Linked DNA regions of Coturnix japonica. The protein of the gene in region 2 interacts with the protein of the main gene of each other region in a pairwise test. Links are inferred from orthologs where the notes say so. Each region holds a gene or a part of one and is shown on either strand. Other genes may lie near its edges.

Region 1 (3,821 bases), on a different chromosome or scaffold from region 2:
CAATCTTGGACAACCTAATGCAGCTTTCTCATCCAGTATTTGGAGCATAAGTTGTAGTGGGTTTATATTGAATTAATATGAGCTCTTGTCTTCTAAAAGTTTGTAGAGGTGTCTACTGAGACTTGGTGCACGCAGGATGGGAAAGAAGCCTGTGGCTTTAGTGGATTCTAGGATGATAGATGTGCAGTCAGTGTAGCTGTCAAGACCTGACTTACAGACCATAATCCTGGTACAGCTTACAGCATAATGCTGTTTTATCGAAGGCTTGGAAAGGACAAGAGCAGCCTTGAGAGCAGCTGAAAGAGAAGGACCTGGGGGTCTTGATGGACGAAAGACTCAACATGAGCCAGCAGTGCACTCTGGCAGCCCAGAAAGCAAATGGGATCCTGGGCTCCGTCAGGAGAGGGGTGGTCAGCAAGGATAGGGAGGTGATTGTCCCTCTCTACTTGGCACTTGTGAGGCCCCATCTGGAGTACTGTGTCCAGGTGTGGAGCCCTCAGTACAAAAAAGACATGGAGATTTTGGGAAGGGTCCAGAGGAGGGCCACAAAGATGATCAGGGGGCTGGAGCACCTCCCCTATGAGGACAGGCTGAGGGGGTTGGGTTTGTTCAGCCTGGAGAGAGAAGGTTTGCGGGGGACCTCATTGCAGCCTTTTTCAGTACCTGGACAGGAACTTACTCCCAGGAGGGGAGTAAAACTCTTCGAAAGGGCTGACAGTAGCAAGACAGGGGAAATGGTTTTAAGTTAAAAGAGGAAGATTTAGGTTGGTGATTTGGAGGAAGTTCTTCCCTAGGAGAGTGGTTAGGCCCTGGAACAGCGCTGCCCAGGGAGGTTGTGGATGCCCCGTCCTTGGAGGTGTTCAAGACCAGGGTCGGACGGGCCCTGGCAACCTGATCTTAGTAAAGGTGTATGTTTGGTGGCCCTGCCAGGCAGGGGGGTTGGAACTACATGATCCTTGAGGTCCCTTCCAACCCGGGTCATTCTGCGATTCTGTCTGATTCTGTGACAAGGGTGAGGAAGTTCAATACTAAGCTTTGTTCTGCTTTACTGCTGCTGTGAATAAGATGTTTCTTGGGCAACAATGGAAAACACCCTGAAAAAACGGGATAGCTGTCTAAGTGAGCACTGCATACAACTGGGAGACATCCTATAATTTTTCTTATGAGAACCCTTCTTACATTTTTTGCATGACTTATTTTCTTTTAGAAATGTATCCAAAGAGGATTACTTTTAACCTGTCTTTTTTTTGTTGGTTTTATTTTGCTTTGCTAATGTACATGAGGAAATCCAACCATTCTTCAAATTGTTTTTATTTTTAGGTATACAAATTGGTCTTTGAAAACCTTTTTCTCCTTTGGTCTTGAGGAAAATGACATGCAGAGTAGCAGCGTCTTTTGTGGTCACACAGTTTGTCTGCTGGCCACTTCAAAATGTTTTCCACTGTAATTAACTCTTAATCAGAGTACTTTGTTAAATGTAATGCATATTGTTCATTTAAGGTGTTCAAATGACTGGAGTCAGGCTTTCTTTTCCTTGAGAATTTCTGTTGCTTTGTGTGATCTGACAGGTCATAGGAATTTGTATAATTTAGCACAAGCTTTGAAGAAATTATAATCATGAGCTATACGTCTGTGTTTCATGAAAGAATTGTAAATTAAGGGTAGGTGTTTCAAAGCTTCCCCAAAAAGATGGATTTCTGACTTCCAAGGGAAACAAGTGGGAGGTTATGAGTTTTAGAATTTTCTTGAGGATGAAGAATTTGGGAAGTCTTGTATCAAATTCCTTCTGCCCCATTGCTTCTCCGAAAGCTTTCTCACCCTCAAGTCACATTGCTTGTATACCTAAATGTCTTAATTGTGTCGATGTTGTTTACAATTGATGCCAAGTTGTTGGAGGAGCAGCAAGTAGATGTTAAGATACTTTCTGGCTCTTAGCATTCTATTTGCATAGGTAAAGCAGCACTTGTAGAAATGCCATTTCATTTTTTTATTACTTGGCAGGCAGAGTTACGAGCAGCTGTTTTTTTGGCATTAGAAGAACAAGAGAAAGTAGAGGTAAGATGATTTTAAGTGTTTCAGTTTTGACTTTCTGACAGTTCTTCCTGTATAATTAAAAATAATTACTTTAATACTTTATGTATTACTTTAATACTTGTGTGCCCCGGTGGCGCAGTGGTAGGAATGCCGTGTTGCAACACCGGAGGCCCTGGGTTCAAATCCCCCCTGTGGCACAAGTGGTCGAAGTGCCACTCTGCAGCACAGGAGGCTCAAATCCTGGGGTTTGGACTCGGTGATCTCTAAGGTCCCTTCCAACCCTCTAGACTATTACCTATTACCTATTATTACCTATTATATTTGTGAAGTGTAACAAGAGAAAATGACTATCACTGCGTAAGAGCTTAAAAAAAAACTCCTCACAAAGGTCATCTTTCCAGTATTTAGAAATTCAAAGTCTCACATAACCTTTACTGTAAAACTGCTCACAGGAAACTGTTTATCACTGCTGCTTTTATGTTGCTCGGGTCCATTTGACTAGGGTAATTAAATATCTTTTCTTGCCAAGTACTACTTTAATAAATGTCCTATTGACAGCTGGAAACTTTATCCAATCAGAAAAAGTCTTTTGAAATGTAAGGTATTATAGTGGTCGATTTTGAGAAGTTTTGTGACCCCTTTTTCTGCCAGCATTGCCTTTTTTCCTGTGTCTGTTTATTCTTTAGACCTAGAGAAGAGAGGGTGCAGATGCTGTATGTCTGGGCTGTGTATTTTGAAAATGAAGAATGGAAAGCTGCCCCTTTCCTCTGCTGTTTTGTTGGTTGTGCTCTTTCTGGAAGAACGCACAACTGCAATAGATGTTATTGTGACAGTGGTAATGATGGGAAGCATGAGTAATTATTCTATGGCGTGAGACTCCATATGTCAGAAAGGTAACATGAGATTGCTGAGGAAGAAATAATGGAAGAGTGATGTAGTACCATTCCTAAATACTAGGAAAGTTGTTTTGGTTTGGTTCTTTTAAATACTGGTGAGGGACTTTCGTGTGTATGTTAACTATCACTGTTTATAAGTGCTGCCTCTAACAGATCCTTTCCTTAAATTTAGTTAGGTTCCTGTCCAGGGTGTTTTCACATATTAAGAATGATTAAGAAGTAGGATTCAGAGAGGTGAATGGCACGTACCATGTGCTGTATGTATGAGTGTACATCAAAACACCAAACTGTTGTGATTTATTTACTTATTTATTTTACTATTTTGTTTTTAACTTCTTAATAGCTCAAGGATGTTGTTAATTAACATTTGCTTTTTGCTTTTTGACAGAACAAAGCACCCCTGGTAAATGAAAGCTTGAAGAAATTTTTGAGTACAAAAGATGGTAAGTTCTGGTTACCACGTCTCAAAATTAAAAAGAACAACAAATAATGGATTGAATCTTCCGTGACATAAAGAATGCCTTTATTCCCATCAAATAAAAGCAGTTCTTACAACTGGCTTTGGAATAGAGTATGATCTAGAATTTTTAAGTTAATGTCTCTGAAGTCTTATTTTTAACTGAGGTGACTAGTATATTTAAGTTAATATTTCATGATGAGTAAAGCTACTCTAGGCAGTTAATGGTGAAAACAGATTGTAGAGGTACAGTAGCGACCACACATAAGAAAAATGGCAAAGTCATGTTTTTAAAAGATCAGAACAGATGAAAGCGGAGCCAAAACAAAGAGAAACCTCAATCTTTAAACTTGAATTTTGGACACAATTCCTTTTTTCCCATGCACTATTTCTGACTTTAAATAAGTTAAAATGGCTGAGAACTGGTACACAAA
Region 2 (3,415 bases):
CGTGTTTTGGAGGGCGAGGGCTGCAATCCACACGTGGAAAGGTAAAGTGGAAGAGGGGCAGATCTATTTGGATCTGTCAGTGAAGCTTCAGCCTTAGGGTAAACCACTAAGAACAGAAGGACTGGGATGCTGACCCCGTCCCACACTGCACTGGTGGTGGCACCACTGCTGGCAGTGCCCGCTGTGCCAGTGAGACAGAACCTCAGACCTCAGGGATGTACAACAACTGGCCGAAAGACACAAGAATAAATTATATTTCTGGTAATGGTGTTTTATCTGTTTATCTCTCCTGGTTACCACATGCTTTGTGGTCAATGGGGTGAGCTCTGAGCATGGAGCTGCAGAAACAGAGCCAGGCACAGCTGTGGAAAGATCTGGAGAAGGCCATCACATCCACCCTTTCACGTGGCCATTTTTTGTCCCTATTTCAGATAGAAATAGCCAAAAGCCATCTACTATCTACACAGGTACCTGCTGGGGGATCACTCAGACTATTTCAGCCACTCTTCTGCTTGTGAGCATCCCCAAAGTGCTTCCAAAACTGACTTGTTTTTGAAATGCTCAGGTTTTTTAATGAAGGATTTAACCTGTGCAACCTGAAATGGCAAACGTGGCCTCTACTGAGGGAAGGTGAGAGTGATATCCTCAATGAGACACTGATGTATCCAAACGTATATTTCACATTCCAACCGAGGTGGTGATAAACACCACAGGCACCCAATAAAGTGTATTATTGCTTCCAAGATGTAAATACTTAACATTTCATTTTCAGATAAAGCTGAAGAGAAATCACAGGAAAACATGGTGAGGTTTTCAGCCAGATGGAAACAAAGGAAAGATAAATTAGTTAAATTGGGGCACTCCTACGTTGGAAATGAGTAAAACAGCCACCAAGTTCAGCTGTCTCGTTTCAGCTTTCTCAGTTCAGCTCCTTACACTGCATATAAACCTGAAACTGCTGGAATATCTTAGGCCTCAGATTCTCCATGGCCAATTTCAAGCCACACCAACAGGAGATGCTGCAGTGGAGGGAGCAGGATGGCACTGTTCTCTCCTAGGAATATGGGATCTGTTTCTGCCCATCCAGCTCCTCTCGGTCTGCAATCAGACTTCTTCACACGACTCCCCATCCCATCCACAGGACTCCAGCTGCTCATCCTGGGGAAACTCCACCTCGATGTCATAGACAAAGTCCGGGTCGTCCTTTTTCTTCCTGTTCTTTTCGAAGAGCTCGTCCATGATGCGTTTCCTTTTGGCTAACTCCTCATCGTCCAGTTTGTTCATGTCCTCCTCGGGGTCAATGTTCTGCTCCTGCTCAATCTTCCCCAGGCTCTCAGCCAGGCTCTCTCCCCTCAGGTGGCCTCTCAGCAGAACGTGCAGCTTCTTTAGCTGACACAGCGACACTCCTTCCAGGTAGGCTTTGTGCCGAGGGTTATTCTTCAGCTGCTCAGCAGCGACGCCGCAATCTAAACACAAAACCACCGTGAGGAGTTACAAGGGGCAGGCGGATCTCTTTAAGTAGAGATATGGAGTTGAGATGGAGAGGAACCGGGGGAGAACCAACACACCTGAGGACTGGGAGAAGTTCCTGACGGGGATGATGCGCCGCCGGGTCTTGTCGTTGTCCCTGTAGATGAGGATGACGGATGGCGGCTGGAAGCGGACGCCGCACTGCAGCGCCGTGCGGCTCATCCTCCTTCGGGCTGCCCGCTCCAAGTGCCTGAGGAACGCGACTCAAAATGGCCGCCCGAACCATCCGAGTGAATCGGGCAGCGCCGCGGGCAGCCCCGGCCGTGAGGTGAGGCGGGGGTTCCAAGATGGCGGCCGTGCGGTGGCGGTGGGCGTTAAGCGCGTTGCTCTGTGCCTTCCGTAAGTATAACGCCGTCGTGCCGTCAGCAGCCGCGCTGTGCTCCCGGTGCCGCTGCTCACTCGGTCTGTGCCGTTTCAGACGCTCAGGCCGCCTGCGTGAGGAGCGCCGTGTCTCAGGAGCTGCTGAAGGAGGGATTGCACAGGTGAGGCCGGGTTTGCCTTCACACGGAGTCATAGAACGGGCTGGGTTGAAAAGTACCACAGTGATCATCAGTTCCGACCCCTGCTGTGTGCGGGGTCACCACCACCAGACCGGGCTGCACAGAGCCACATCCAGCCTGGGAGCCATCGTTTCATAGACATCTTAAACTGCGTTTCACTGCTTTCCACTCTGTTGAAAGTTTCCCTCTGACAATTCTGGATTTAGTAGCTGTAAGAAAGGTAGATATCCATGAGAACTCAAATTTAAAGTCAGTATGCTTAAACAGGATCTTACTGAATGTATCAGTTGTCGTAATGAACTGTATTGGAACAAAGTGGCATGGTTCCAAATGTATAGGCATTTTCTGGTGATGTTGATTCTCAATGTTTTAGCTAAAATTGGAATATAGGTTGGTTTAGGAAATAAATGAGCATCATAAGGATCTGTTTTCATATCTTTCAAAGACATTAAAGAAGCATAGAACCTTTTTACAATTATTATTAAGTTGTCTTGGACAAAATTAGTTCTGGAAGCCCCTTATTTCTGAGGTTCAGATATGTGAGTAGTTGGAAAATGTACTGTAGACAACAATCCTCAACACAGATGTAGATAATTTCTATTTGTTTCTTAATTATTTCTTTCAAGCTGAGTGATGGATCAAAAGTAGTTTTTTATAGTGAGTATACTGTTGTAATAGCGTACCACAGCAGGATCATATCAGTTATAGGTACCTTCACTGTTCTGCCTGTCTCCTGGGAAACTTAATGTGACCTGATATAGGTGTTCCTGCTCTGGCAGGAGGATTGGACTAGATGATCTTTCAAGGTCCCTTCCAATCCCTGACATTCTGTGATTCTTTTCACATGCAGTGCGTGTGTCTGTGATTCTTTTCTCACATATTTAGGATCTATTGCTTGTTCTGTGTGGGCTGCAGTCGCACTGTGCTTTCTGGGGTTGTCAGCAGCACAGAGCAGCTGGTAAAGCCGAGCTTCACTCTTGGGATGTGCTACACCCATCTCTGAGCATTTGACAGTTTGACACTTGGAGGTTTTTCTGCTGTCTCTCAACACGCAGGTGTCAGCATTGTGCCCCCATGGTTTGCTTTAAGGGAGCTGCTGGTGAAGGCGGAGCTGGGCAGCACGGGGCAATGGACAGAAGGATGCACGGTGGCTGCTAGGACTCAGCTGCCAGCAGGAGTCTACGTGGATCCCGATGAGCTGGCGTCACTGCAGCAGCACAACGTAACCAAGGTAAGGAGGCAGGAGCTCAGCCATGGGGGGCTTCTCACATAAAGGCTGAGCCTGCATTTAGCCAGCGGTGTTGCTCAGAGACGTTGTGTCTCTGTAGGTTGTGTGCATGCGGTAGGGAACAACCCTCGAACTATACACAGGCATATTGATGTCT

What was found.
Region 1: the proteins of CEP19 (region 2) and CEP43 interact in binary tests that used the Homo sapiens proteins (3 or more experiments, as listed by UniProt). The two-hybrid records come from large-scale screens. The link is inferred for Coturnix japonica from reciprocal best matches to the Homo sapiens genes CEP19 and CEP43.

The regions. Positions count from the first base shown.
Region 1 is NC_029518.1:38,160,743-38,164,563, reverse strand, and holds part of CEP43 (FGFR1 oncogene partner), read left to right. Parts: intron 1-2,001; coding exon 2,002-2,055; intron 2,056-3,318; coding exon 3,319-3,373; intron 3,374-3,821. UniProt on the Homo sapiens protein: Required for anchoring microtubules to the centrosomes. Required for ciliation.
Region 2 is NC_029524.1:3,566,644-3,570,058, reverse strand, and holds CEP19 (centrosomal protein of 19 kDa), read right to left. Parts: upstream 1,717-3,415; 5' UTR 1,693-1,716; coding exon 1,569-1,692; intron 1,467-1,568; coding exon 1,105-1,466; 3' UTR 550-1,104; downstream 1-549. Other genes in the region: PIGX (phosphatidylinositol-glycan biosynthesis class X protein), read left to right, coding at 1,818-1,869, 1,949-2,012, 3,120-3,261. UniProt on the Homo sapiens protein: Required for ciliation. Recruits the RABL2B GTPase to the ciliary base to initiate ciliation.